3 linked regions of the Caenorhabditis elegans genome follow. The protein of the gene in region 3 purifies or fractionates together with the protein of the main gene of each other region. This does not show direct contact. Each region holds a gene or a part of one and is shown on either strand. Other genes may lie near its edges. The genes, in order: mrpl-41, R09H10.5 and vit-1.

The links.
Region 1: the proteins of vit-1 (region 3) and mrpl-41 purify together in Caenorhabditis elegans (affinity purification with mass spectrometry, with the first as the bait; one large-scale study listed by BioGRID). This does not show direct contact.
Region 2: the proteins of vit-1 (region 3) and R09H10.5 fractionate together in Caenorhabditis elegans (co-fractionation; one large-scale study listed by BioGRID). This does not show direct contact.

What each region holds. Positions count from the first base shown.
Region 1 is NC_003280.10:285,480-293,039, forward strand, and holds mrpl-41 (Large ribosomal subunit protein mL41), read left to right. Parts: upstream 1-3,459; coding exon 3,460-3,668; intron 3,669-4,124; exon of another isoform or gene 4,125-4,179; intron 4,180-4,283; coding exon 4,284-4,391; intron 4,392-4,496; coding exon 4,497-4,622; intron 4,623-4,726; coding exon 4,727-4,826; 3' UTR 4,827-4,907; downstream 4,908-7,560. Other genes in the region: B0432.10 (Lant_dehydr_C domain-containing protein), read right to left, coding at 1-61, 108-200; misc-1 (Mitochondrial 2-oxoglutarate/malate carrier protein), read left to right, coding at 1,154-1,212, 1,289-1,525, 1,639-1,787, 2,400-2,716, 2,836-2,994; Glutathione-independent glyoxalase DJR-1.1, read left to right, coding at 5,130-5,261, 5,455-5,728, 6,095-6,252.
Region 2 is NC_003282.8:10,621,473-10,633,053, forward strand, and holds R09H10.5 (EGF-like domain-containing protein), read right to left. Parts: upstream 7,358-11,581; 5' UTR 7,343-7,357; coding exon 7,291-7,342; intron 6,976-7,290; coding exon 6,857-6,975; intron 6,807-6,856; coding exon 6,754-6,806; intron 6,287-6,753; coding exon 6,153-6,286; intron 5,963-6,152; coding exon 5,818-5,962; intron 5,772-5,817; coding exon 5,695-5,771; intron 5,641-5,694; coding exon 5,449-5,640; intron 5,406-5,448; coding exon 5,273-5,405; intron 5,202-5,272; coding exon 5,063-5,201; intron 5,022-5,062; coding exon 4,890-5,021; intron 4,843-4,889; coding exon 4,695-4,842; intron 4,649-4,694; coding exon 4,584-4,648; intron 4,533-4,583; coding exon 4,118-4,532; intron 4,073-4,117; coding exon 3,866-4,072; intron 3,815-3,865; coding exon 3,388-3,814; intron 3,213-3,387; coding exon 3,032-3,212; intron 2,986-3,031; coding exon 2,847-2,985; intron 2,803-2,846; coding exon 1,694-2,802; intron 1,603-1,693; coding exon 1,483-1,602; intron 1,439-1,482; and 9 more. Other genes in the region: R09H10.7 (SEA domain-containing protein), read left to right, coding at 24-219; F56C4.4 (Activin_recp domain-containing protein), read right to left, coding at 8,005-8,133, 9,405-9,568, 9,676-9,769.
Region 3 is NC_003284.9:7,724,778-7,736,320, reverse strand, and holds vit-1 (Vitellogenin-1), read right to left. Parts: upstream 8,433-11,543; 5' UTR 8,421-8,432; coding exon 7,548-8,420; intron 7,496-7,547; coding exon 7,211-7,495; intron 7,166-7,210; coding exon 3,980-7,165; intron 3,933-3,979; coding exon 3,686-3,932; intron 3,638-3,685; coding exon 3,378-3,637; 3' UTR 3,153-3,377; downstream 1-3,152. Other genes in the region: set-12 (SET domain-containing protein), read left to right, coding at 173-247, 773-864, 1,365-1,856, 2,109-2,514, 2,563-2,646, 2,693-2,713; spp-14 (Saposin B-type domain-containing protein), read right to left, coding at 9,981-10,136, 10,186-10,341. UniProt on the Caenorhabditis elegans protein: Precursor of the egg-yolk proteins that are sources of nutrients during embryonic development. Together with other vitellogenins, may play a role in modulating life-span, acting via induction of autophagy and lysosomal lipolysis.

The sequences.
Region 1 (7,560 bases), on a different chromosome or scaffold from region 3:
AATAGACGTGAAGCAGCCATCCCGATGATGATTGTGATTTTTCATCTTCGAGATAGTCTTTCTGACAAAATTTATCAGTTTAAAATTATTAAAACTCGCTTAAATACCTGCACAACACATTTTCCGCCGATGAAATCCGTGATAAACTCGAAATTCGGGGATTCTAACCGGTCGGAGAGCAAGTTTACCCATATATCCATAATTTTCAGCTGTAAAGTTTATTTTTCAATTAAAAAAAGAGTTTTCCAAACGGAAAAAAGAAAATTCAATTAAAAACAAATAATTTTCTGAAATCTGTTTTCAAAAAATTGCAAAACGCGCCAAGGCACGAGATATGCGCCAGCGAATGGCATTGGCGCATTTATCGTTTTTGCGCTTATTTATTTGATTTTTTATTTTCTAGAGCAAAAAAACCTTTTAAACAATCAAATTTTTCAATTTTCCAAAATTTTCAGCGTTAAATCTGAAAATTTCAGCTAAATTTCGTCTAAAACTCGCAGGTTTTCATTGAATTACCTATAAAATCTATAATTCTCGAGGGATTTTCATGAATTTTCAGGTTTCAAAGTTTTCTCCGGAGAGCGGCAGTAGTTTTTTTTTCCGATTTTTGGAATAAATTAAGTTATAAATATGCTTGTAACTGAAGTAAACACATTGTTGTTTAAAAAATTGAAAAGAAAGCAAGAGCATACCTTAAAATTGTGGATTTCAACTGTTTTTTCTCAAAATTCGCCTGAATTTCACTGAAAATAGCCCGATTCTCCGCCAATTTTCACCCTAAAACACCATCGAACACACGCTTTAATCACATGTTACTTTTCTCTCTCTCTCTTATCACTCTTTCCACGAAAAGTTCTCTCCAAAGAACGCGCAAAAAGCGTTCAACCACACATTCTCTGTTGATTTTCACCAATTTTTCTCGTTTTTCAGTGAGTTTACATTGTAAAATGTTGCTCTTTGCACATTTTTCTCACTGAAATCTGTGAAAATTCACTTTTTCCTTGAGTTTTAATGAGAAATTCTGCGTCTCTCCCTATTTTCCTGTTGATAAGATCCGTTTAGTAACATTTTGACCTTGTTTTTGTGGTTCTCCGGGCGAAAATATCGATTTTTACCCAATTTCTGTTGATAATTGTGCCGTTTTCAGGAAAAAATGTCCAACGAAGGAGGAGTGCCAAATGTCGTGAAATTCGCGTTCGGAGGAACCGCTGGGTGGGTTTTCGGAATATTTTCAGTTTAAAATCTTTAAATTGTCTTGAAATCGTCAAAAAATATTCAATTTTTGCAGAATGGGAGCGACTTTAGTGGTACAACCACTAGATTTAGTGAAAAATCGAATGCAATTGTCTGGAACAACAGGAAAAAAGGAATATCGTTCATCAATGCACGCGTTGACATCAATTATGAAGAACGAAGGAGTTTTTGCCGTTTATAATGGACTTTCTGCCGGACTTTTGCGTCAAGCAACGTATACAACCACGAGATTGGGAACTTATGCATTTTTATTGGAGAGATTCACTGAAAAGTACGGGAAAACACACTTTACAGCTAAAAAATAGCAGAAAATTGACTAAAAAGCGCGAAAAATGTTCCTTTTTCTTTGAAAAATTCAATTTTTCTTTAAAAAATTTTTTTTAGAGACAAGCCCCTATCATTTGGAATGAAAGCTGTTCTTGGAATGACAGCTGGTGGTATTGGATCATTTGTTGGAACACCTGCTGAAATTGCACTTATTCGAATGACTGGAGATGGACGGCTTCCTGTTGAACAGCGTCGTAATTATACAGGTAAAAATGAGCTTGAAATTCGTTCAAAATTGTATTAAAACAGTAAAAATTACTTTAAAAAGTGGAAAATCATTGATTTTCATTTGAAAATTTCATTTGAAATTTAATTTTCGTCACAAGAAACTTAAAATTACCGTTTTTACAATAATGTCTCATTTTTATCGAAAATTTCTTACAAAAAATACCGGATTTCGTCAAAAATCTTAATTTTTATTTGATGAGTTTGGGTCTGCTAGGCTGCAAACTACAAATTTCGATTTAGCAGACCAAAGTGGTTTTGAAGAGATTTGGTCTGCTAGACTACAAACTACAAATTTCGATTTAGCAGACCAATGTATTTTGATGAGATATGGTCTGCTAGACTACAAACTGCAAATTTCGATTTAGCAGACCAATGTATTTTGATGAGATATGGTCTGCTAGACTACAAACTACAAATTTCGAATTAGCAGACCAATGTGATTTTGAAGAGATTTGGTCTGCTAAGCTACAATCTACGATTTCCGATTTAACAGACCCAAGTTTTAAAAATCGCATTTTGTTGGAAATTGTTGGAAATTCCAAATTTTTCATTTCAAAAATTGAAATTTTAATAAAAATTTCTCATTCCAGGAGTCGTCAATGCCCTTACCCGTATTACAAAAGAAGAAGGTGTCCTAACTCTTTGGCGTGGATGTACACCTACAGTACTCCGAGCAATGGTCGTAAATGCCGCCCAACTTGCCACATATTCCCAGGCGAAACAGGCACTTTTGGCTTCTGGAAAGGTTCAAGATGGCATTTTCTGCCACTTTTTGGCATCAATGATCAGTGGATTGGCAACTACAATTGCATCGATGCCTGTCGATATTGCAAAAACGAGAATTCAATCAATGAAAGTTATTGATGGAAAACCGGAATATAAGAATGCTTTTGATGTTTGGGGAAAGGTAAATTTAACTTTTAAAAAAATGTAAAAATTCGAAAATCTAATTTTCCCGTTTTTGCTAAAAAGTAGGTTTTCACTCGGATATCCCCAAATTTTAAACCAAAAATTTAAATTTTCCAGGTCATCAAAAACGAAGGAATCTTCGCCCTCTGGAAGGGCTTTACCCCATATTACATGCGTCTTGGACCCCATACCGTGCTCACTTTCATCATTTTGGAACAAATGAATGCCGCCTACTTCCAATATGTGCTCAAGCGAGATGTGACCAGTGCCTTGTAGAATCGATTTTTCAGCTATTTTTCGACCAAAAAATCACAGTTTTATTATTTTTTTTGAACATAATTTTATGCTATTTAGGTTGTGTTGTGTACACTTTTCAGATTTTAAATTTTGGCCAGAAATTTTGTTTTAGCCAGGAAAATTCAGTATTTTTTCTTCAGTTTTTCGTGTTCATACCAATTTTTTCTTGTATTTTTTTCTGCATATAAATGCAATTTTTAATGATTTTCAAAACGTTTGTTCTCTGTTTTTTTTTTTGGTTTTTTCCCGCTTCTTATATTTTTTAAAATTCTATTTTCAGGTATTGCAGGCAGGGCTATTTCAGCCAAAAATCCATTTTTTCTCGATATTTTCATTTTTAATTTTGAAAAATCCAGATTACCATTCAAAAATCGACTTTTTTCTTAATTTCCATATTTTTAAGCAAACAATCGAAAATTTCAATTAAAAAATCCAATTTTTCAGATGAAACTGGTGCTCGTAAGCACTCGTGGAGTCCGTTCACTCAATTCAACCAATTTTCCGGCTCCATGGCCATTTGTGAAGAAAGGAGCATTTGGACAAAGGAAAATCGGTCCAATGAACTACGAAAAATTCAAATGGCCCGGACAGAATCGCGAATTTCCAGAACTTTCTCCGAAATTTCAGAAATTGAATCCAAAAGAGTTGCATAGGTGTGAAATTTTGTAATTTTTTTCAATATTAACCCCAAACGTTTTAAGACTTTTAAATTTCTCATCCAGACCACTTGGGTCTGCTAAATCGAAAATTGTAGTTTGTAGTCTAGCAGACCAAATTTCTTCAAAACAAAATGGGTCTGCTAAACGACAACTTGTAGTTTGTAGTGTAGCAGACCCAAAGTTTTCAATTTTCGCAATAAAAATTAGAAAATGATGAATTTTTCAATTTTTCAGTAGGAAAATGAATTTTTTTCAAATAGAAATTAGCAAAAATTCAAGTGTTTTGCAATTTTTGTGTTTTAAGACAAAAGTGCGTATTTTCATATTAAATCCTGAAAAAATCGGAACTTTCGGGGAAAATTGATCTAATATCAAATTTTTGAGTGAATTAACATTGTATTCCAAAAAAAAAAAGAATCAAAAATCTAAATTTTAAGCTGAAAACAGGCAATTTTTATATTGGTCTGCTAAATCGAAATGTGTAGTTTGTAGTCTAGCAGACCAAATTTCTTCAATATCACTCGGGTCTGCTAAATCGGTATTTGTAGTTTGTAGTCTAGTTTGTAGCAGGCCCATCCTCGATTATTTTCTAAAATTTTAATTTTCCAGGTACACCGGAGTCCAGGCGGACGGATTTCACGACGAAAAGACTGGAGAGTTTGTACCGGTGAAAGAGATGCGATCAGAGCTTGTTGTACCGAATTTGGATGGTTTCAAGTACGATTTAAGGGATTTTCAAATGAAAAATTCACGAAATATGGGTAAAACCCATGAAAATTGACTTTTTTTTTTGAATTTTCAAGTTCAGTTTCAAGTTTTCAGACTTCGGCCCTACGTCTCCTACCGTACAGATGTTCAAATCGAAAAGCGACGAGTTGCGTATGAGAAGAAAGTTTTGGAAAAAGGATCCGAACGATTGGCTGATTTACATACTGTTGAGGATGAGAGGTAAAACTAAAAATTTCTGATTTTTTTTATTTGAAATTACCTGAAAAAAAGCAGTTTTGTAGATTTTTTGCCCAAAAAATTGAAAAAAAAATTAAATTTTCCAGATGGCCACCACCGAAAATGTCAGCTGAAACATTGTTCGAATTGGCGTACGGCGACACTGTCCGAAGTGCATACAAGGAGGGAAAATATGGAAATAAATAATGTTAAATCGATTTTTTTTTCATAGATTTTTCATATTTTATAGCGATTTTTCTGTTATATTTTTTGTTTTTGTTGAAAAAAAAATTTCCCTTTTTTTTCTGTATTTTTTCCTCAAAATTCGAGTTGTTTCCCCTTTTTTATATTTAAAATTTTCAGATTTGAAGTCAAAAACCAAGAAATTGACTAATCTCCTAAACATAAACTTAAAAAAAAACGTCAAAAACCAAAAAATTTTAATTTTTAAAACTTACTTTTGAGTTTTTTTCCCTTTTTCAGAATTTTTCAACTGAGCAACTTTGAAAAATGGCTCAAAAATCGGCTTTAATCATATTGGCGGCCGAAGGAGCTGAGGAAATGGAGGTCATTATCACTGGAGATGTACTTGCTCGTGGTGAAATTCGTGTGGTTTATGCCGGATTAGATGGAGCCGAACCGGTACGGGAATTAGCAGAAAATTGTAAAAAATCTAGAATTTAAAAAATTAAAAATTCCGAAATCCCAAAAAAAAAAATCAATAATTGAGGTATTTTAACCCCAAAATATGTTTAAATTTGAGAAAAATTCAGAAATTTCAAATAATTTTTCTTTTCGAAACCAGTCAAAAATCATAAATATTCACATTTTCCAGGTAAAATGTGCTCGCGGAGCCCACATCGTGCCAGACGTCAAACTCGAAGACGTGGAAACCGAAAAATTCGATATTGTGATTCTTCCAGGCGGCCAACCGGGCAGCAACACGTTGGCTGAAAGCCTACTTGTCCGCGATGTTCTCAAGAGCCAAGTAGAGTCTGGTGGGCTGATTGGAGCAATTTGTGCAGCTCCAATTGCACTCTTGAGCCATGGAGTCAAGGCAGAACTTGTGACAAGTCATCCAAGTGTTAAGGAGAAACTCGAGAAAGGAGGTACAGCTGGTTTTGCACTTTTTTTGGTGAAAAGTCGCTAAAAATCGAACAATTTCATAGGGGAGCCTTAACTATTCATTAAAAAAATCTACATTAGGCAAAACTAGCGAATTTTTCACTTGCAACGTGGCCTGGAAAAAACTCGGCCACCGAATTTTCCGCGGCCACTTAGTGAGATCCTATAACTTTCATGACTTATGTGTTTCTATCCAAATTGATGGTATGAATATCGGTATTCTCGGCTGAAACATGCAATAAATACCGTATTCCAACCAACAATTCGGTGGAATAGAGCACATTTGTCACTGGGGATGCGGAAGCTATGCCCAAATTTTCATTTCTCCCCGAAAAACTTGTGATTTCCAGGCTACAAGTACTCGGAGGATCGTGTTGTTGTCAGTGGCAAAATCATCACCTCTCGTGGACCCGGAACTGCCTTCGAATTTGCGCTGAAAATTGTGGAGCTGCTTGAGGGAAAGGACAAGGCCACCAGCCTTATTGCTCCGATGCTCCTGAAGCTCTAATTCTTCCCGTTTTTTTTTCGCTGAATTTCCTCTTGGTTTATTGTATATTCGTCACAATTTCACGTTTTTCCCACACCTATAAATTATACATTTCTTTTTTAAATAAAAAATCTAGAAAGCTCCGAGAAAACTACAAATTTGTTTATCCAATGACAGCAGTCACCCGAGTAACGAGGACATACTCTGATGAGCTTAATCAACAGAGCGCGCGCGCGAGCAACTTAAAATGACTTCCGCGGTTATTTCCCTCACGAAACTTTGATTTTTCCTTTTTTCTCATTTTTCTTGCGAATTTATATTATTTCCTAAACTTAAGTGTAAGACGTGTAAGCCTAAGCCTATCCTAAACATAAGCCTAACAAAGTAAGCCTTAGCCTAGCCTAAGCCACAGCCTGAACCTAAGCCAAAGCCAATGCTTAAGGCCAAGTCTAGCCTATTCCTAAACCTAAGCCTAAGCGTAAGCCTAGCCTAAGCCAAAGCTGAAGCCTAAGTCTATCCAAAATATAAGCCTAAGCGTGAGCCTAGCCTAAACCTAAGCCTAAGCATAACCCTAAGCCTAAGCCTAAGCCTAGCCTAAGACTAGCCTAAAACTAAGCATAGCCTAAACATAAGCCTGAGTCTAAGCCTAAGTCTAATCCTAAACCAAAGCCTAAGCCTAAGTCTAGTCCTAAACCAAAGCCAAAGCCTAGCTAGTGAATCAAGTCCTGAACCAGAGAACTAACTAAGCCTTGAGCCCCCAGAAGCCCGGAGTTACCTCCAGTGCCGAAATTGACCGTCTTGGACTCTCTATTTTCAGATCCTGACGCATTCTGACCTTGATAATCGGCTTCTGACTCTCTTTTGTGGTCTTTTTTTCCAATTTTCAGAAAAAGCGATGATTTTTTTCCGGATTCTGTCACGTCAGAGATGTTGCAAGTCCGAGAAACATGACATTTTTTGTATTTTTGATTGTTCTGATTTTGATTTTTTGAATTTCCACACGAAAAGTGGTTGATTGAATGCCAGAAGATATCAGGATTTTTTGTTTAAAGAATCATCATACTTCCGTCTTTGACAAATCTTCGATACAATTTATCGTAATTGTGCTTGGCCATTACGGTTCATTTTCTATCATTTAAAATATCCTAGTAGGCCCAAAAAGGCTTGATCTACGTAGATCTACAAAAAATGCGGGAGTTTAGACGCAGAGTTCTCAACTGATTTCGCATAGTTAAGAACGTGCTGACGTCACATTTTTTTTGGGGCGAACAATTCCCACATTTTTTGTAGATTTTTTGTAAACATTTTTTGTAAACAGTGATCGGACAG
Region 2 (11,581 bases), on a different chromosome or scaffold from region 3:
ATTTAAATTCGCTGAATTTGCAGAAAACTGAAGATGTACTCAATCATGTTCTTTGTATTATTCATTCTATTTCTTATTACCACTATAATTGTATCTGTTATTCTTGGAATCAATATCAAAACTGAACAAAACTTGGAAGATCAACTGGAAGCTTGCATTGAAGTTCGGGATGCCTTTTTCCTGAAGTCTCATGATCCTCCTCTGAAGATCTCTGCCTAATCTCTACATAAAATTCAATTAATATCTTGTTTAGTGTGATTAATGTTACGTGTTATTGCATTTTTACCGCTTCTTTTTGTTTTGAAAACATTATAATTTGAAAAAAGTATTAAAAATTTAAACAGTAAAGCCATCAATTAATCCTTTGATCGTTTAAGCCGAGATATCTGAAAAAATTATGATGTTCTTAGTGTGGAACTAAAGAAAACAGAACTTACATTGTTCACAATAATCGCCATAGTAACCATTTGGACAGTCACATAGTCCATAAGCTGATACTCCTCCATTCGTACATTTTCTAAGTTGGCATAGATTTCCAAAATGATTGGCATCGCATTGACAGAAACCATAAGTGTCTACAGTAGCAGAATTCATGCAATCTGAAAAAAGTAGATTGATTTAAAAAACTCACGCCTTAATTCTGTTTCGACAATCACTAGGAGTTAGAACCGACCGGCTTTGTTTCCACTCTTATTAAAGAAGAAAGTTCGCTGATAATCGTTGTTATTAGAATCCTTTCCTCTCACGACAAATTTCATGTAAGTTGAAGTCCAAGTGATGAGCGGTGTCACAAACTGGCTTGCACAGTTAACTGGGTCTCTAACAAGAACAGTTGCATTTGTGAAAATTCCAGTTTCCCATGGAGTTTCAGGGTCAGTATTAGCTGATGAAACAGTTAGAATAGTCGAACCAAAGTTGTGGGAATCAGAGTTGTAACTGTCCATTACACGGAAAGTGATATAAGAAGCGGATGTACTTCCAGCACCAACTCTTGGAGTTCCACTTCCGAAGTCATCCCCCTGATCGTTGGTGAAACGTGGAATGATTTGAAGTGGCGAGTTGACTCTAGCTTGAAGATAACAACTTCCGGTGCTTTTTACTGTAACACTCCAGGTGCCTGCATTATGTCCAGATGTGCTGATTGTTCTGATCAAGGTGTTCACATCGGTGAAGGTAGTGGAGTTGGTCAAATCGACGTTGTTGGCTGAAAATCAAAAGATGCACTTGTTGTCCAAGTACTGGGAAAATAATACAAAATAAATTTACATTTTTCATCTGTGACAGTAACTGAAACGCCAGTTCCAGTCGCTACAAGTGTAAGTGTCGTAGCCAAACTTCCGACTGGGAACTGGAAGTTCACTCCAGCACTGCAATCCTTGGCGGCATCATCGAGAATCAATTGATTCTCATTGACAGTTGGAGTAAGAGCGCTCAGAATCTGAAATACTTGCTTGGAAAAACGAAGCCTTTTGATTAAATAACCTGTTGAGTTTGAAGTGGGCTGACTGGAAGGACTCGTCCATTTGATTGTCTTGCAATGGCTGCATAATAATAGTTTACGTTTACAGGTGTGAGATCAGCTCCCATCCAAATCATGTTGACCTGTAAGTAAATTCAGAAGTTTTAAGTATTCATTTTCAATCTTTAGAGCGACAAAAATTTCAAAAAAAGGATAATATATTCAAAATTTCACCTGAACACCATAACGTTGTCTGACTGCATCGAGATTGCTTGCTGAATTGGTTGCAGTAAACACATAAACAATTCCAGGAAGATCGACAAGTGTTGCATATGCAGTGTTAATAGCTTCCAATCCTCTAACTTTGGTGGGACTATTCACTGAAACAGTGATACCTTTTTGGAAGGCTGCCAAGAAAACATCTTTTCGCGTGGAAGATGCAACAACTTTGATGTTAGTGTCATCGAAGGTCACAAGAGTGTATTGCTTTGGAACATTTACGTCATCAGTAGAATCCACAAATGCTTGGATATTCTTCAAAAGATACGAATTTGGCAGGATCATATTCTTGGTGTTGATTTCGACGACAAAAACAATTTGCTGGAAGTTATACTCTCTTGGATCATGAGTCTCTACAAAGTTCCATGTGTTACAGGTTGTGTATTGACAAGAATCTCCATCATATATAGAAGGACATTGACACTTAAAGTCTACTACCGAACCACCATTTTGACATGTTGGTACTTCACAGTGAAGACTCGTGTATCCATTGACACATTGACAATTTCCACCCAACATGATTCCTCCATTGATACATCCAATCAAATCACTACAGTAAGCTCTTTGAGTTCTCATGATTGTCACTTCATTTGTCGTAATGGTAGTTTCCATTGTGAATGTATCTCCAGCACTTTGGCAAGTGTATTCTTGATTCATGATGTATTCATACTTGCATCCAGATGTACGTTTAGTGAACAATGAAGTAAAAGCAATGTTATTGTTGTTATCATAACTAGTGACATCAATTGATGGATCAGATTGAAGAGTTGAAGAAAGATGAATGACTGGCTGTTGATGAGTTGCATAAGTCAGATCTCTACTGAAACGATCAAATGATGGATCAGGAGAGAATCCAAGGTAAGCGGAGAATTGACTGCGCTCGGTGATTCTGACAAAGCACTGTGCCTTGGTATTAGAGGAAAGTTGGAGGACATATTGCAACGAAGATCCAGCACTGATTTTAATTTGATAACTGGCAAAGAATGGCACTGAATGTGAATCAGCAACCAACGACTGCGATACACCATTATTAGTAACGGAAGCAGTAAAGTTTTGAATCGTAGCTGAAAATTTTCGCATGAATCGTAATTGGTTTTGATCAACTTACGAGAATAAACGACAACATATGCATCATTTGTGGCGCTTGAAATATAAAACGAACGGGATGCAAAAAGCGAACAATCCATAACATTATAGTAAGCAACAACCTCTGTGTGATGATGAGTGCTTCCATACGAAGCAATGAACTGAATTTCAGAGAATTTATTTTACATTTAAATCTTCCAAACGTACATTGAACACAGGATCTCCGTTTGTAGTATACGGTTGACAGAAATTGATAAAGTTTCCACCAGTCTGTTGTGCAAGGATTTCATAAATCTCATATGTTCCAATGTCGGTACAGAAGTCAGTGGATCCATATGGTGGAATGATGACTACAGAGATTTCAATTTGACGTTCCACTGCGGTTTGACTGAAATTCAGTTGATCGAAGATACGGACATTACAAACAATTTGAAGAAAGATAAAGTATTCTAAATAATATTAACTGATAAAAATCGAAATCTAGGTTGACGGAAAAAAATATGGTACCATTCTTATACATATAAAAATTCACAAACAACAACTTTTTAATACTCTTAACTTACACAATATCGGAGAAGTTCATCGAAGCTTCCACCACCGAAGACGCAGAATCAGTGAAGAAGAAAATTGAGGATTTATCAAAATCCATTGATCTCATTGTAGTTTCCAAGGCGAATAGTCCTGGCTGAGGTCCACTTGGAGAATATGAATATCCGATTCCAATGTCGTTGGTAGCGTTAAGGAAAGCAGATGCTGAGCTGAACTTGGACGACGATACATCTGGGAATGATGCTCCGTTGACTGTTCTAGCCTTGAATGTCGTAAGCACAAAATCTTCAAAATCATTAGACTGTCCTTGATTGAGCATTGCACGGAGACCATCATTAAGCCGCACAAGAGCTTGATTAGCAGATAAAGAGTTTTGAACAACAACAGCAAATGACCGATTGTAAGATTGGAAGGTGTCGGGGGATGTGGTGCTGCATGTCACTAAAAAAGTGAAGGTATGAATCTGATTTCAGAGAAGACTGAAAAACTTACAAATTTCACAGAAACTTCCAGAAACACCAAATGGACAAATGCAGTTTCCATGACCACCACCGTTGGGGAACTTGTCAGGTGATCCTCCATTCACACATTTTGGAACTTCACAGTGAAGTCCACCCCAGTTGGCTGTGCATGAGCAAGTGCTTATTCCGGAGCGGGTTCCGTTGTTGAGACATGACCACGGAGCGGCCATGTGGGAATCTAAAAATGTCGTATTTGATCGGAAAAATGAAATAGACTACATACCTGGCGTGAAGCAATATCCTGGAACTGCACGGTACTTGTTTCCATCGGAAGCAGACACAACCACATTATGAACATATGGACCTGGAGTACACGAAGTAGCATTTGCGATTTGGTACTGGAAGATGCATGATGTTGCTTTTGCTGTCGCTGTAACAGCAGCAGAAATCACACCGGAAGTGACAGAATTAGCGGTTGAAACTGAGAGACTTGTAGTTGTAGCAAACGAAGAATATAGAGATGGCCGTTGATAATATCCATTGAATGTGTGAGCATAATTGTTATCAACAGTATCATCTTCAGAGTATGACACAAGAACATCGTCCATTGAAGTGAACCACACACGAGTATTATGAAGTGGAATTGTGTCTCCTGTGATGGTAACTGATGTGGTTGAACTTTGGAATACACGATAAACCTGAAAACCTATTTTTATTATGTGATAGGTGATAGTTTAACTCAGGCTCACAGCAAATCTTCGTCCAGAGGATGTGGGCTTCAATGTGTTACCATTGGTGTCTTGAATATTTGGAACTGAAAAAAAAAACATCAATTTTGCAGATTCCATTTTTTGACTAACGTGATTCTCCATTCTCAACTGTCATCATAATATATGTTGTTTGTGTTGGTGTATCCGACTGCACTGGAATATTTTTGGCAACATTATTGTAGTATTGCACATATGTATTCTGTCCACCAATTGTGTAGAAAAGAAGATGAGTGAGAACCTGAGAATTGAGTAACTTTGATCTAGAGTTATAAGAAATGATCTCACTTCGACAATTTCCGTTTTATCAATCATCAAAATGTCTCCATGAGCAGCCGTAGCGACTCTGCGGAGCACATCGAAGTGGTTTCCAGTTGGCTCAATTGGGCTTGATGTCGTTTGGGAGAGAACAAAGATAATCTGAAATGGAAAAAGTATACGAGTTTGTAGCTTTAAATGACCTTATTTCTCCAGGCAAGAGTCTGCTGGATGACCATGCTTTCATTTGTGCTACTGAGAAGCGTTGAGGGAGTTGGATCCAATAAGTTCTCAGAATCAGCAAAAACATAAACAGTTGATTTTGGTCTCATTGTTGGCTGGCTGAAAACATTTATTTTATATCATTTAAGTTGATTGAAGATCTCCAGTTATTGAAAATATCTAAAACCCACGTGGATTGAGAGTTAGCAATAGCGTCAAGAAGAGGTTGATCATCAGATGATGGAGCAATGGTCACACTGTGAAGGTAATCAATCATAGCATCGGATGTTGTGAAGGCACTCGTTTCCATGAAGTATACGGATTCTGAGATTTGAAGTTTTCAACCAAAACTATGTTTAAAACTAACTTGTATATCTGTAGACGGTGACGATGAAGCTCGAAAGAATGACTCCTTGACTTTGGTAATCCGTCACCAATGTTGGAATATTTTCAATGATCATGCTCAAATCGTATGCCATCGATGTTCTAGTGTTGATAGCAATAATGAGTGACTGAGACGAGAAGTCAACGACGGAGTCAATCTTGGTGACACAAGTTCCTGAAAACTTTGATTTTCAGAAATTGATTTTTTAAATTGATTTTGAAAGCATACTTGCTTCACAATGAGCAGAATACAATCCAGGAGGACATGAACATCTTCCACTTGATCCAATACCATTGTTGCGGCAACTGAAAATAAAATTTATATTTAAAACATTCAAATATAAAAACATACGTCACCACTTCACAGTTAGCTCCAGAATAGTATGGTAAGCAAGAACAGGTAGCATTTGGCAATAAAATACCTCCATGCAAGCAATTGCTCACGTCAGCACGAACTACTCTGAATCTCGAAACACTGTCCCCTTGTACTTCAAATTCTGAAATTGATGTTAGGTGTTAATAATAAGTGTACTGCACATTCTGACGCAACACAAAATTTACGACCTTGCGCTTTGAAGAATACATATTTTACAGTTTCCACCACCAAGTGTAGATAAAATTAACATTGATGAAAGGCGGAATTTGATTAATGAACAAACGGGGCACAATGATAGAGTTCAACCATACCATTTTTTCGCAAGAAATATATTTGCACGTCGTCCGTCGCCACGATTTGGTCAATGATGTCTTGTCGGGAAACTGTTAGAGATGAGACAAGTGTTAGACGAGCATGGAAGACTGCGGTGTCTTGACCGTGAATTCTGGATTTATGAATGATTTTTTGAAATTTTTTGATCGGTAGAGGGAAATGAGTTGCTTGTTTTTAAATTATAACTGTGGAAACATTATCTTATTATTGTGTGTGTATAGAAATGTGTGAAAAATGGACCAAAATGTAAATAAAGAAATTTTCAATGTATCAGATTTATTTTAATATTTTAAATTTTCTCAATAAAATGTTATATTTGAACAAAATATTGCAAAAACTAAATTTGTTTCAGTTTATAAACTACTTCAAGTTAATTAATAAAACAACTTCTTCGAAATTTTCTGTATTTTTCATATTTGTATTTGAATAAAGATATATGAAATGGTGAAATTAAAAATAAAAAAGTTCCAGTTCCAAAAGATGCTATAGAATCAAAAGAAATTGTAAATTTCTTCAACTAAACTTTTCAGCAATTCCCTCATTCAGAATACATCTTCTTTAAATATTTCCAGTACTCACTTGTAATCATGAACAAAAAACTCTTTGAAATCTGGTCCAACAACTTGTGAAAACTGAAAATAATTTTTTGAAAAATAAATTCGTGTAATGCACCGTCACTCACCCGTTCCGAAACTTTGTTCAACTTTTCCGTGAATGATTTTTCATTGTAATAGTCCGGATGGATATCGTAACTGTTGATGAGATCAATGTTACCACGAATTTCATATTGAACACCAGCGGCTGTAAATGGTGATCAAATTTTTTTGAAAACCAATAAATAAGTTTCTGCGTTTTGAAATTTGAAATTCAGACAAACTTTGTCTATGAAAAATTAATTTGTTTGGAATACTTGGATAAAAATTACAGTTATTATAACTCTTTATTTATTTATTTTTATAATTCACTTTCTACATTGGAACCGATTCAACATAAATTTAATTTTTTTTTAAATCAGAACCAAATTTGAACAAGGAGCTGTCAAATGGGGAAACGAAAATTCAACGTTAATAAGAAAAATACGGTATTTTTTAAACTGAAAAACATTAAAAAAATTACCCAATCCTATAATAACCAGTAGCAATCCAATGGCCTTTGTAGCAGGCGCCATTTTGGTTTGGTCTCTGACGACCGAACTGAAGTCAAAATCGGCAACTCGATGGCATGCATCGCTTATCGGAAACTGCAGTTTTTATTAGCCTGTACTCGCCCATTAGCTTATCAATGAATTTATTCATTTTGAAACTTTTATTGGTTATTTGGGTCCTCAAAAATATAAAGTACAATCATAAATTAAATGGGGCGCTATCGAATGTGTATTCAATTCTTATTATTAAATTTTTTTGGAGAAATAAAACGAAAGTTGGATATTTGAAAAATGCATTATTGATTACATTGCATTTTGATTTACGGATTGCCAAAGATCCGGATTCCGGAATTTTTGATTTTCAGTCAATCTGTATGTATTTTTCTCTGCCTTCATTTTTTTTGTCAGAAAACCACCTCACGAATGATAAAAATTGGAATTATTGTTATTTCTTGTAGCAATTATCATCTTTTTTTTTGAATCTTGAAATTTTTGATTCTACTTGAAATTTTAACAGTAAGTAAATGAAAAGTAGTAATCGGAAACACAGGAAAATCTTGATATTAATATTGATATTTGCCATTGCAGTCCTGAAGTTTGCCCCTTTGAGAATTAGTCACAGCCATACTAATAGAAGAAATACGGTTTTCGAACTTTGTTTTCAACTTAAAAAACGCTCATTGAATTTAATGTTCAATTTTTTGTTTCCCTGCACTTGAATCTTTCTTGGTCCTTTTCTCAATTCCAACATCGTTACACATGTTTTCCGAACAGCATCTCGTTGTCACTCCGATGTTTGTGGAAACTCGATCACCCTGAAAAATAAAAATAATCTTATTTCTCTACTGAACTTTAGTCAATTAATTTAACATGGTTCAAAAAATTCATAAGGAAACAGTTTTGTTTTCTGTATTATACAAGCTCAAAGTTCGGCGAATATGTAATTTTTTTTTTGCAAAATAGATAAATCCTTTGATCTTACAGATCAGAAATGGAGATTGTTCAGAAGATAACAAATATTTAAAAAACTGTAAAAGTAGAAGCAAAATCAATTCATTTGAATTTTGTTCAAGAACCCCCTTTTATTGAGTTTAAATCTAGTTTGACACGTGTAGCCTCAGTGCGTAACCTACTTGTGATCTGTGCTCAAAGACTCTAATAGCCAATCCCCTTTACTACTTTGCCTAATCTACCAGTATTGAAAAATGCGTCACATAAGTCTTTTGAAACCCTATCAAAAGTTCTTACAACTTTCGGAAGTGGTAATTTTAATGAAGTCAGCTGGAAATGATGAAAGTTTTGCTGGAAATAGATTTGATAAGGCTGCCCCGAGTACCTGGCACGTTAAATCAAACAAAATGCACTAATAGAAGGTTGCACGCAATAATTGTTTTGCGAATTATTTCATAATTATTCAATGGAACACAAACAAGCTTTCTTCGTGGTGTATGTGCACGTGAATATCACGGTGGTCTAGAAAATATTTTTTCTGATCAGATTACAAATTATATGCTTGAAAAAGTGTTTTCACATGTTACTGGAAAATTTATATCACCAGGATTGTTATTCAAATATCCTAAAACAATTTTTTAACAAAGTAGAGTGTAGCTCGTAAATTTAATTTTGCTATTTTGCTAAAAAAAATAAGTAAATGAAAATTCTGCAAAGATACAAAGAAAATGTGCATAAATCAGAAAATCCTGTTACTCTGAACCTTTTCATGCAGACTCTGCAAACAAAACGTACTTCGTTAGGTGCAAAATAAGGTTCAGAATTGTAATAATAGTTTGGATTATTAGAATAGGTAAAGGCGTTGCAAAGCCAGTGGGAAAATTGATCAAACTAGTCAAATGACTATAGAAAATCACGTTTTTATATTAAAACTTCTTGAATTTTGTTTAAAATCGCACGCAAGGTTGGTGATCACTTCATAAATTAATCTCACTTGGATCCAAATTTGAAAATTCCAAAGCTTATGTTTAGCAAAATGCGATAAAACTTATTTCAGTGGGTTTCATTACGGTCGCTTTGACAGTTTTAAACTATTTTCAATGGTTTTAGTTAAAATCTAAGGGCCTTTGAATACCTCGCACAAATTCAGGATTCTTCTGCTTGTACTCAACGTCTGACAACTCGCGGTGACCGTATCAAAATCTTCACTATAAGATTCCACACAGTACTTCATTCCATCATCACAAGTCTCATTGAAAAAGTTTTGAATATGTTTTCCGTTGATGTATCCTCTGCTACCTGCCAATTAATATCTTATCAAAAGGTGTATGGGTGCTTCTTGTTTCGTGTCTTCTTATCACAGACCATATATCATGAAAAAGGAAAACGTGGAACTCATAACTTACCAGCATAACAGTTAATTGCCAATGAAAATGTCAAAAAGGTGGGGAAAAAGAATAAGAAAAAATAAATTTTGAGAGTTTTTTGAAAAATCATCATGATTGATTATCAATAAATTTGGGCGAGAAAGTGAAAGTGGTGATGTGATTGTTTATAATATCGATCAAAACTATCATATTTCATTATTTAAAAAAAACATTAGATAGAAGAAAAGACGCAGTGAAAACGTGGTAATTTGTATTATGACCCAATACAATTTTTTCAGATAAGATGATAAGTTCCGGCGGCAATTGTAGTATACTGTTCTTTTGCCATAAATCATCACTTTTCTTGTTTGATTTTTGAATTGAAACCTGAAACTGAAAAAAATGGGTGCGGCTATCTGTAAATTATACACGCTCTTGCCCTAAAGTGGAGTTTAAGCGCATTGTGAAACAAGTGGCAAAGGTTTGGAAAAGCAGAAAAACCCGGTATTGTATTGGTGTGGGTAAAGAACGTTTACAGTTAAAATTTAATTGCAAATTTAAATTCAAATTGGAGATTTTGTAAAACTAAATCAATTAGTAGAGTGAAAGTATTTAATAACTCCTTGAATACGGCTACACTTATATTTTAAACTAAATTGCGTCGGTCCTTTTGGCGTATTGGTTGAAGTTTTGGTTCAGAGCCTCAGTATTTTCGCGCAGCGAATGTTCAGCTAACATTGGTCAATGCCGGCTTTTGAATGATATTGATGGTCTTTCTGGGTTCTTGAATTCACTTTCCAAGTTTAGGGAACCTATGTAAATACTACACTTCTAGAAAAGTGCTGTAAGCGTACTCTGAAGCGACTTTGGATATAATAACTGTATCTAGATGGAAATTGGGTTGGTACAAATGACCGATGCAAAATACAAATTATGAAAAAAATTTTAATTTGTAAATTAATTAAACTCCCAAAATAAATACACTCCTAATACATATTTTAAACTTTAATTCTGAGTCTCACTTTTTAACGGCAATCTAACACTAATTTATACGAACATTCTACGTGTTCTATCGGTATACTTGACCCTTTTTGTTCTTACTATTAGGAAACTGGGAAATTTATCTTGTGGCTTGCGAATTTTGAAGGACGGATATTCATATCGGCACGAACCAATCACTAATCGGCGATTTTTATGAATATTTTACATACTGTTTTGGTTAGCTTTCCATGTTATTATTCAAAGTTGTTTTCTTTTCTTTCATAACTTGTAACTTCTCACTGATCTTCAATCTCTAATATTGTGCCCAGATGACTAATGCTAGATACTAGACAGATTTCCTTTTCCAAGCCAAATCGCTGAAGCATATAATTTTCCGTGCACATGTAGCGGGGGTGATAAGCAATGTAGACTGATATTTGAAAAAACATTCATAAAAATTTAAACTTGTAATAAAACATTTGATTCAAATTTAAATGAAGCAACATAAATTTAACGCTTTAAAGGTATCCGAAAAATCTTCAAAATATTTTAAAATTTATTGGATTTATCTGAACTATGCAGGGTGTCCAGTTAAGAGGGGGATCTAAATAAATCTAGAAACAGATTTTTAAATAAATAAAAAAATTAAAAGTAAAAAATGAACGAATAATTTCAGGGTTCAAGTTGTTCAACACATAAAGTTTTTGAAAATTGCCGCAACATGTTGAGGATTCAATTTGTTTTTGTATTTACAATTTTTTTAAAAACTTTTCCCCGTTTTCCATAAAACCAGTATTTTCTTGCTCTACAGAATTTTGTTTATGCTATTCATAATTCAATCGTTTGCCAATAATGCCCTTTTATTTTTCGCAACAAAAATCGTTTTTTTTTTTCAATTGAGCCAACCTGCAAGCCTCCAATTATTAGCAATCAGAAGCTGTTTCAAAGTGTAATTGTCCCTTAT
Region 3 (11,543 bases):
TGTTCGCTCATCTCAAACCTATTTTGTAGGCCTAACCTTTTTATTTCAGAATTCATTGATTGTTAACAACTTTGCTCTCATTTCTTCATCGCATCAATTCTTCGCAAAACCTTTGAGAGTTTGCATTTTAGTTTTTAAAACTGTACAAGACTTCCGTTCCAACACTAGGATAATGCCAGGAACCAGAGCTAGCACAAACAAAAAGACGCAGTTGACCAAGAAAAATAATTCAGTGTTTGTCTACAATGTGAGTTGTTAAGCAAGATTTATTTTGAAAAACTAGCCTTCCATATCCAGACCGTTTTAGTTTACTTCTCACTCAATAATATGCTTATTGTCTAATTTTCTAATTTGTTTCCGACTTTTAATGTTATTATGGCTGAGATTCTTATTGTAAAATATAGATACTTCATGAGATCTGAGCAAAAAACTGATTTGGTTACAAACAAAATATTGATTGAAACGGAAACAGTTTTCTACAAGAAAATACCTTACTTTTTGACAAAATTGACGGAAAATATATGTCAAACAGGTCTAACATACGTGCAAACTTATCAAGCACCTAAATTTTTCATAAAAACATAGCTTTTATATAAAAACAGAACATATCAACTCAAATTATAGTTTTGAAACAAAAAATTCCAACACGTTAAGAGAACCTTGAATTTAAAACTTAAAAATATTAAATAAGACTAGTATGGAAACTATATTATATCAACAATATACACCTTGAATTGACAAATACGAATAATCTGTTGTATAAAAATTTCAGACCGATCCAAAATTTTTCCCGAATACCAGAAGGATGGACTACAGTTTCATTTGCAGTCCGAAAAGAAAAACTGGATTGCTCACAGTGACAAGGTTAGTTTTGTTAAATTTTTTTTGTAAATAAGAAATACAATTGAAGCAATAGAGTTTAGACAGAATCTTGAGTTTAGCACATTTTCCCACAGGTAACCAAAAATCATCGACATTGGTTACATATCAGTTTAAGTCAAAGTAATGTGAGACGAGGAACCAAAAATTACAATAAAAGATGATAATCAAATAAAAGTTAATTTCCAACAGCCGTGACATGGAATGGTTGGCAAAATTTAAGACTTTCGCTAGAATAAACTGAATTTTTTTCGAAATTGTGAACCGTAATAAACTTTTTTTTGTAAAATTTGTGAGAAATTGAGAAATTTCAGTACAATATTCGTGAGCCCATGAGACAAATTTTCGAGTTCAAAATACACAGAGCCGTTAGTCTTTCTTTGAAGTATGCAAAGTTTTGAGAAAATTTTATTTATATCGAAGATTGATTAACTCTTGTCTCGTTGTCTGAATATTCTTATATTCTTTAAGTAAACATTTTTCAGCTGCAAATGCGGCACGGACTGCACCACGGAGGAATGTAGCAATTTCGCAAATCATCGCGAATGTCCCCGAGGATGTTCAAATTGCGAAAATCAAAGATTTCGCAAAAGACAGTTTTGCGGTGTTGAAACTTTCCTCACTGACAATGGCATAGGACATGGGCTCAGAGCAACGGAAGAAATTGCTACTGGCAAGTTAATCCTTGAGTATCGGGGAGAGGCGATAACCAAGGCCGAGCACAATAAACGCGTTAAGCGCTATAAAAAAGATGGAATCAAGCACAGTTATTCGTTTGAAGTGGGAAGAAATTACTATGTGGACCCGACACGCAAAGGGAATTCGGCACGGTTCATCAATCATTCCTGCAATCCAAACGCTTTGGTAAAAGTGTGGACCGTGCCGGATAGACCTATGAAGTCTCTGGGAATTTTTGCATCGAAAGTCATAAAACCAGGAGAAGAGATCACTTTTGACTATGGAACCTCCTTCAGAAAGTAAGTTGACTTTGTAATACTTTGAAAACAATACCCATCTTTTTGGAGTGAGTTTTTAGTATACTTTTTCATTGCGACAAAATACATACTGGCAATGAACTGTAATAAAACAATTTATCAAAATCTTTTGTATTTTTCTTTTTTCTTCCATTTTCCGAACCCCGATAAAAAATCCCAAAATTTTAAATAAATCACAATTTGATTTTGTTATGCTAGACCTTTTTATACTTTACAGAACTTTTAAAATTTTAGTGACCAACCATGTCAATGTGGGGAAGCAGCATGTAGAGGTTGGATTGGAAAACCATCAACATCTGAAGTTCCAAAGGATGTGTCCAAAGAGCTTAAAAAGAGAGGAAGAAAACCGAAAATGGATCCCACAGCACCCATATCAACAACGAGCACAGGAGGTGGAGACAAGGGGAAATTAAGTGGCACAATTCCGGTGCCAAAATCCAGGAGAGGAAGAAAAAGAAAGACCGATGTCACAGCTCCTGTTCCACTAGCCACAAAAACCAAGAGACATAGTCCCCCAGCCGAAAATGAGTCAGAAGACAAAGAAAATGTTAAACCACCAAGCGAAGAAGACATTACCAACGCCATGAATAATCTTTTAAATAAGACATACGATAATCAAAATGGTGTGCTTGATGAATGCGTAAGTAGAAAGATATCAATTTGAAAGCCACTTTTAAATTGTTTTCAGAGAAGCATCATGGGCAATCTGGAGTGTAAAAGTTACGAACACATGGTTCACAAACGAGTGCTTTTTCTACTAGAGAAAAATATGGTATCTTAAATATTTCAATTCGATTTTAAACAGATCAATTTTTCAGGGTCTAAACTCGAGACTGTAGCCACTCGTGGACTTTCAAACGGTTTACATGCTTCACTACAGGTCAGTGGTTACAAAATGAAATGTGGCAGTTGTAAAGAAAAGTAGGAATACAAAAAAACTCGAAATTCTGGAATATTTGAAAACCAATTTTCATTCTAAAAAAACCAATCGACTAAGCATACTTATTGTGTTTTTTCAGAACTGCCAAACTTGCCTTCACAATCCTCATCTTTGCCATTTTATCTTCAGCATGATCAGCATGATTTCTTGTTTTAATTTCATTTTCATAATAATAAAAACCTCCGAAAAAAAATGACAGAGCACTTTACTTGTTTTATTTTCTTTGCAACGTTTTAAATTCTATCAGTTTAGTATATCTTTCTCAAATTCCGAAGATTCGTATCATCAACTTTCACGATTATCGGAAATAAGATTTCAGACACTAACAACTTCTTTTTAAAATGTTAAACTCGATTTATTTTCTGTTACGCCAAAACGTTGAAAAAACCATAAGTAATTTTTGATGTTTCTACCAAATTTCTGCAACTTGATGATGGATATGAAACAGTTTCCAAAAGCTTAAAAATAAACTAATGAAAATTTATTTCTAAACTTGTACTAGAAAGACAATTATTAGCAGAAGTTATAAAATTATGAAAAAAAAGGCCGGCCGAGCTTATGAATTAATAAGCGACGCAAGCAACTGGGACTTGAACTGAGTGGACAAAGGAAATCTTGTGATCATCAAGTTGAACTGTTCCTTGACGAGCCTCCTTCACCAGACGTCTGGCTTCAGAACTGTGACGTGGCAAGCAGGTGAAGCGAACTTTCCTTTGTTGTTGCTCCACAGCTTCGTATCCACGACGACGGCACTCGGCTACTGGCTCAACGGAGAAGCAGATGCGGTGGGAAAACTCCTTGATTTGAGTCTTCTCGACAAGATCTGAAAACGTAAGTTTCCGATATGATATTATTTGAAATTATGTCTTACCGGATTTCTTCTGGCTTCTCTGGTTCTTTTGCTTTTTATTGGTGTTTTCCTGCTCATAATCATAGGTCTCCTCAAAAGAATACTCTTCAGATTCGTACTTTCTCTCGTCGTACTTTCTGTAGTTCTTCTTCTCAGAAAGACGCTCCTCCTCGGCTTCACATTCCTCGTTCTTGAGAAGGTAAGATCGGTGGAACTCTTCGATGTCTTTGGTTTCGGTGTTATCGGAAGTGTAAAACTCGTTGGTGGACTGAAAATTTTTGTTATAACTTAAGAAAATCTCTAGACTGAACTCACCTCATCATCGTTGTTTCCGCAAAGTCCGCAAAGTTGGTTCTTGCGGCTGTAGGATGGAAGTTGAGTCTTGATGGTGTATCCGTCAAAGCGAACCTCTCCTTCTGGTAGCTCAATAACAATATCGGACTCTCCGAGTCTCTCGATTTGGTGAGCAGAATAATCCTCAGAAAGGATCTTCTTACCGTCAACCTTAACGCGAATCTCCTCGTTCTGGAGTTGAGCAACAATTTCTTGTTCTCCACGGATAACCTTGATGATCATCTCTTCGGAATTCTTTTCAGTCTTCTTGGAGAGAACAGCGAAAGTTGGCTCCTCGGAGCAATCTTTGGCGATCAGAGAGTAACAGGTGGTGAGTGGAGTGTTGTAGAGGACATCATCGAAAGTACGGATTTGGTTCTTTTGCACCTTGCAAACAGATCCGGAAGCCTCATTAAGTAGGTGCTTGACGGAACGTTGAGCAATGGATGGAAGGTACACACGTGGCACTTGAACGTTCTTGAGCTCAACGCGCTCAATTGGGGATTGCATGGTGATGTTGACGTATTGTCGGGACATTGGCTCAACTGTGAGTTGAACGACGACGCGATCATTCTCGTTGTTCTCTGGGCGGCTCGAGACAGTCCAGTAGTTGTAGGCCTTAACAAGATCAAAATAACGGGCAAGAACTTGTTCGGTTTCACGGGTGAGCTTGTACTCAGCAACAGCGTTGATCTGGTTAAGACGGGCGGCCTTGATCAAAAGCTCGTACTCTGGCATTCCATTGAAGTGACGGTCCATGTTACGCTCGTATTTCTTCTGTTCCTTGGATTGTTGGAGTTGAGCGTTGACGGTGACTTCGCTCTTCTTCTGGGATCCCCAGGTAGAGGTAAGAGAGAGTTGAACTTCACGGTGTGGTTGATCGTGGAGTTGACGGAGGGATGATGGCATCTCTGGGCGGACAACAAGAAGTTGGGAGCGGAGAGTCCATTCCTTGGTTTCCTCGAGGATTGGGGAGCGGCGAATTTCAACTTCCCATTGGCACATGCGGACTTGCTTGTCACAGACGGTGGTAACCTCGGTGTTCATCGTGTAGTCACGTGGGGCCTCAAGTCTCAAGGAGACGACAGATTTGTATCCTTGCTCTTTCTGGATGCTCTTGACCATCTTGGTGAAGTACTCACGGCGGCTCTCGGTGTTCTCTTGTTCGAGCTCGAACTCCTTTTCGAAGATCTTGTTGTACTTGATTTGGGAGAGCTCGGTCTTCTCGAGTTGTCCAACGGTGAGACGGGCGGTGAATTCGGCTGGACGGTACTTGTTCTCAACGGAAACCTCGAAGTCTTGCTCGGCAAGAAGCCAGTTTTCAAGAGTGTGTTGGTTGAGGATGTTTCCGCGTGTGGAGACTTCAAGTCCGAGGAAGTTGAAGACCTTCTCAATTTCCTGAGTCTTTTGTTGCCATTGTGGAACAACGACGGTTCTCTCTTCAGCCTCAATGTATTCGAACTTTGAGAATCCTGGGAAACGAAGGAAGACAACTGGGCGAGTGGTGAGGGAGATGATCGATTTCTGGTTCTCTGGAACGACAACCTTGTAGACGATTTCGAAATTTCTCTTCATTCCAACGACGGCTTGAATCTTGATTGGGGTGTAGGCGCGTACGGATTGAACGCTCTTGACTCCTTGCTCGAAGAGTGGGGTGAACATTCTCATCTCGTAAACGTGGGTGGCAGCAACGGATGGGCGAGCCTCAACGGTCAAACGAAGTTCGGTTTCCTCAAGTCCAAGAGAGAATTGTCCTTCAGCCGAAAAGACCGTTGGGATCTTTCCAGAGACGATGAGTGGAAGTCCAAGAGTGGTTGGGAATTTGCGGATAGCCTCATAGAAGTAAGCGGCATGATGAGTCTCGAACTCGTGCTCTTGGTTAAGAAGACGGCGGATTTCGCTGAACTGAACTTTTCCGTTGCTGATGTACTTCTCAATGAGCTTCTCAATGAGTTGGGTATCGACTGGGAGGATGGCATAATCCATGTCCTTGTAACGAAGGTAGACCATGGCGAAGGCATCCTTCTCGTTGTAGTTTGCTGGGCGAGCACGGATGTTCATTTTCAGGGCAAGTTCCTTAAGAAGCGTGATTCCGGTTTGGATACGGCGTCCGCGGACAACAGTTGTGGACTCCTTCTCAATGCTTTCGAGTTTCTCAAGAGCCATCTGAACGTATTTGTCCATGTGTTGCTGTGAGAATCCGATTTGGGCAAAGTACTTGTTCCAGTTTCCTCCGAAGACGGCATCAAGAGAAGCGTGAAGATCCTTTAGCAAGAAAGAGTTCTTCTCGAAGATAGCGGCAAAGTCAAATTGAGCTCCAGAGAAGGAGTTTTGAAGGAAGAGTGGAAGTTGAGCGTAGGAGGAAGCGATCATTTGTTCTTGTGGTTGATAACGAGTGAAGGAAAGAACCTTTGAGCAAACGATAGCAACACGTTGGTAACAGGGGTTGGTGGACTTGGCAAAGTGACGGATCATCTGGTGGGTAAGAGCAGCAACTTGTTGGTTGGTCTCTTTCTCCATTTGGGAAACAACTTGGACGAGGAGAGACTCTTCTGGGCGGGTGTGCATCATTCTCCACAAAGCAAGCATGCGGATCTCTGGCTCGTATTGTCTGTTCTTGTAGATTGGGAGGAGTACCTTTTGGATCTTGCGTGGCATGGTGTCCTTAAGAAGTCTGAGGGCATCAATGGCTTCCTTGCGGACTGGAAGTAATTGGCGCTTGTCAACAATGATCTCGTTGAGCTGGTTGACGGAGATGTCGAGTCCAGCGTTTCCGATGCTCTTGAGTGCCAAAATCTTCTCGTAGGTGGTCTCAGCATCCTTGTATTGTTGCATGAATACGCGGAGGAACTTCTCCTTGAGCTCACGCTTGTCCTCGCGGACGAGTGGACGGATATTCTTGTAGTCAACAATTCCGCGGACAACTGATCCGGCGGCGAGCCAAGCAGATTGTCGGACAACCTGGTTGTTCTTGGAAACGCGAGACTCGGCGAACTTGATGAGTGCTTCAGCAATGGTTTGAGATGGGAATGGAGTCTCTTGGATGGACTTAAGAAGTTGAGCGGCCTCGAGTGGAACGATGTCCTCGTTCTCGATGTGAACAAGAATGTGTTGAATGGTGTTCTTGGTTCCAGCAATAGCGAGAGCGTGCTCCATCAAAGATTGGATCTGAATATTGCAAGGTAAATTATAAAATGAACTAAAAATGTATACCTTCTTGTCAGCCTTGACGTAAAGAGTCTCGTGGATCTCTTTAAGTTGGGAGGTGGAGGTGGTGCGGAAAATGCGGACAAGACGCGCAAGGAAGTGGGAGGTCTCTGGGATGTTGTTCTCGACTTCTTGTATTTGCTCAGTGATAGTCTTGATCAAGTGCATCTTCTTGTCAAGTGGGAACTTCTCGAATGGGGCGAACTCAGCCTTATCTCCATTCTTGAAGAAGTCTTCAACGAGTTGCTCCCAACGGGAAGAGTAGATGATGCTTTCCTTCTCTCCATTGACCTGAAAGAATATTTGTCTTAGAACATACTGTAAAAGTTATGGATTAACGTACCTTCTCTATGTGACTTTTGATGGAGTGGTTCTCCTCAAGAACAAGCTTTGAGCGGGTTTCAGTCTTCATGACTTCTTGTCCGTTAACGTTGACAGTGTAAAGGGAGCGGACCTCGGATTCTTTAAGCTCTTCGTTTTCCAAAATGTAGGTGTAGACAGTTTGTGGGCGGATGAGCACGGTGTCCTTCTCGCATTCTGGGCACTCGGAAGAGTAACGAAGTCCGTAAGCGATCTCGGAACGTTCGGTGCACTTGTCAAAGTTGATGGACTTGGTGATGATGGTCTTCTTCTGCTCACGGATGACAGTGTAGGCGACTTGGCAGTCTCCTTCAAGGGTCTTCTCGTTGGTGAAGAAAGAAGTGTTTTCCTCAGATTGTTCCTCCTTGTCATAAGAAGATTCGATTTTCTCAATCTCGTTTCTTGGAGCAATTGGGTTGAATGAGATCATGTTGACAACAGCTCTCTTCATGTTCTTTGACCATTCAGCATCTTCCTTGTCGAATTGGAGCTCGGCGATGAGTCCATTTCTGAGTTGAGCACGGAGTGGGAGTTTGAGCATTTGCTTGTACTCCTCGGAGAGTTCGCGCTGCTCCATGGAGTTCAAGGATGGAATCTGCTCGGACTCTGGGAGGTGGGAAGCGGCCATGTGAATATTCACAAGTTGAAGGTGAATGTGACGGTCATCGACAGCTTGAATACGGACACGAGCAGAAAAACGAGATTGGGAGAGCTCAGAGGAAGCAGTTGGAAGGCCGGAAAGAACAAGTCCGTCGAACTTGTAATGATAGTCGATTTTCGGCTCAAATGTGCGCTCGAAAGCTGGGGAGAAAGCAATGGCCAAAGCCACTATAGATGCGATAATAATCGACCTCATGATTGGACAATGAATTTCCTCTTCACAGGTAACCTTATATACAACCTTCGATTGGCATTTTCTGAATTGAAATGAAGGGTTTGCAACATTTAGCGCACTGATAAGGCTTTAATTTGGCACATTGACAGTTGCTCAATAATTTTTCACTTTATTATCGCTGAATCTCAGAAATAGCTTCTATCAAATGTGAATTTTTTGTATTTCTACGTGTTTCATCAAACTTTGATTGACCATGCACAAATTGTCTTTATGCAATTGATAGTAGTGTTATGACAAGTGTTATGACAATTGCGGAGAAATTTTGTTTTGTGGAGGACAAGTATTTCAAGTGTAATGCTAACAACTAATAGCCAATTTTTTCAAAGTACTTTTTTAAAAACTTTTTTGTAGTGATGAAGTTGAAAACTTTGAAGTTTCAGCCATTTAATTTATTTCAAGGTTATATATTTAAGTCGCAAAATTGTTTTACAAGACGGTTGCTATTTATAATTGTTGATTCAATTTTTCAGTCGAGCATAAAGGCTAGTGCACTTTGTTTTAACATATCAAAGAATTGTATATTTCAGGTGACAATTTTATCTCTCAAATGACATGCAGGAAACAGCAAGTTTTACATTCGAATATCCACAAGAGTACCTTATGTGATAAAGTTTTGTTTTTTTGTTGTTGTATTTCTTTCTCTAAGTTATTCACTAAATGTGAAGTGCAACGAGAACAATTTGAGGTTTGTAAACAAAAAAAAAACAAAAAAAAAACCGAAATTGTAAACATAGTTTTTTAAACAGAAACGGTTACTAGAGATTTTGTGGAATATAATAACTGTATTTTTTTTATAGTTGGTGTGACATGTGTGACTTTAGCCATTAACAGATCTTATTTCCTTAATTGTGTTTTTTCATAGAACACATTACAAAATGACTGAATATGTGAAAACGAAGTGTCACATCATTTACCAAACCAAAAATCAAGAATGATTTTGGAATAGGTATTCAAGCCTGCTTACCAACAGGACAACCTCTGCCTGTTTCAAAAGATAAATGCATTCACTGACAAAGTTTTGTCGAGATTTATTAAAATCGTTTGATTCAAATTTTCAACCAAAGAACGTGAAAAAATTCAAACGTTTACTGAAAAAAAACATTGATCATCGGAGTTTACTTCATCTTTCAGATTTAAATGTTTAGGTAAAATTTTATTTTAAACGCGGTTTATTAATTTTTGACATATGTAGGCTTGAATTGTTACAATTCAAGCTACACTTGCGTAGAAAATAACCTGATAACCTTATACGAAAAAAGTTTATTTCAGCTTTCAATTTGGAGCTAACAAGAAGTTGTCACGTTAGAGCCGAATCGACACTTTTTGGTAGTCAACGTCTATAGCTTTGATTGCCACTGTAGTTAACTTTGCTCTTCCTCTCACGAAAAGTCAGTTTTGTTCAGAGTTAGTGAGATTTATCAGTTTCAGGCGCGCTGATATTTGACAATTTGAAGTTCATATCTGAATAAACAATTTCAAAGGTCATTCACACTTTATCAGAAGAAAAAGAAACATAAAGAATTAGCACTCCTTGAGCTTTTTGCAGACATCTTCTGGAGCAGTTCCTCCCTCGAGCTCGTTGATGATGGGGTCAAGCTTGGAGTTTCCGTACTTCTCACATTCCTTCTCGGCAAATGGAATGATTCCAAGTTCCTTCTTGCATTCGGCGTCAAATTTCTAAAATCATATTCACTATAATGACCAAACGAACAGTTTGACTACTTACGTCCTCAACGGTGTGAGCTTCTCTGTCAGCTGGGTTTTCAGCAGCACGGACTCCGACCTCGCACATGAGGCAGCTCATGGCATTGTCCTGTTGGCTTGGGAGAGCCAAAGCGGTAGCGACGGCGACAAGGGCCAGAAGGCAGAAGGTGGTCTTCATTCTAAAAAGAAAATAATATAAAAACGACATTCTAACCTTATCAAGAAATCAGCAGTCTGCAAGTTTGTCATGAATGAAATGAATGAAAATTCCGAAAGATAAGGGAAGAGTTAAAGTGCTGTTATCATAACGATTGTCTCGTTCATTTTATACAGACTTTCAACAAGGAAATTTTAAGTGCTCAGCCCGACGAAAACTTGAATCGCATGACACTGTCCCGCCCACTTTTATAACCCACTGATAACCCGATAATCCGGAATCTTTGAGTTCTTTACTCTGTCTGATTATAAAACTCTATTTGAGATAAAACTGTTTACATCATATTTCAATAACATATTCTTATATTCCTTGATACTTTTAAATTTGTTTGCTCTTTATTAGTGATTTTTTTTTTTTGAAATTTGATTTCAATAAAATCTGAGAAAGAAAATATTGAAACAAAGAATGTGGTCAAATGGGGTTGACAAACAATAAAACGAATTATGACAAAATGTTCAGAGAAATTGTGGAAATTCAAAGAAATGTACCCGATATCCAACGGGAATATAGTACAGTAACAAAGGAAACGATTTTTGATGATTTTTGGTGTGGGGTGACATGAAAAAAGGGAGGAGGAGTAGAAAAACGTAAGAAGAAATTATCAGTTATACATAAAAATGCGGGAGGCAATTATTACGCGCTTACTTACAAGGGTCGAAAATCAAAGAAAGTGGCGAGGAAATTGTTCCATAAACAGTAGAATTCAGTCCGTTTTCAGCAATTTGCAAATCAAGACCGAAATTATAGAGAAAAATAAAAAATGAATTTCAACAATTATAGTGGGATGATGTGTTTGTTTGGCGGTTAACTGTTTAAGTGTTTGGCGAGAAGAAGTGCATTGTCACGGAGTTGATTTGGTTCATGTGTTAATTGGGGGAATAGTTCATCGGGATCAGTAGGGTTCCTGTAAAATGTATCTTTGTCAAAAGTTAAGAATGCAAACTCTGTGAACAGTGAAACTTATCAATTTCATCCTAAAATTATATGGGCTTTGAAACCGTTTTCTGAACTAATTTTATTAGGCTTACATGATCAGGTTACATGATATACAATTTCGGTTTAATCGTGTTCCTTATTTCTATTTAAAGGGTAATGCAATACTAATAGAGGAAATACGGTGAATCATAACATTTTTGTAAATTAATAGTAAAATATCTCGGTTT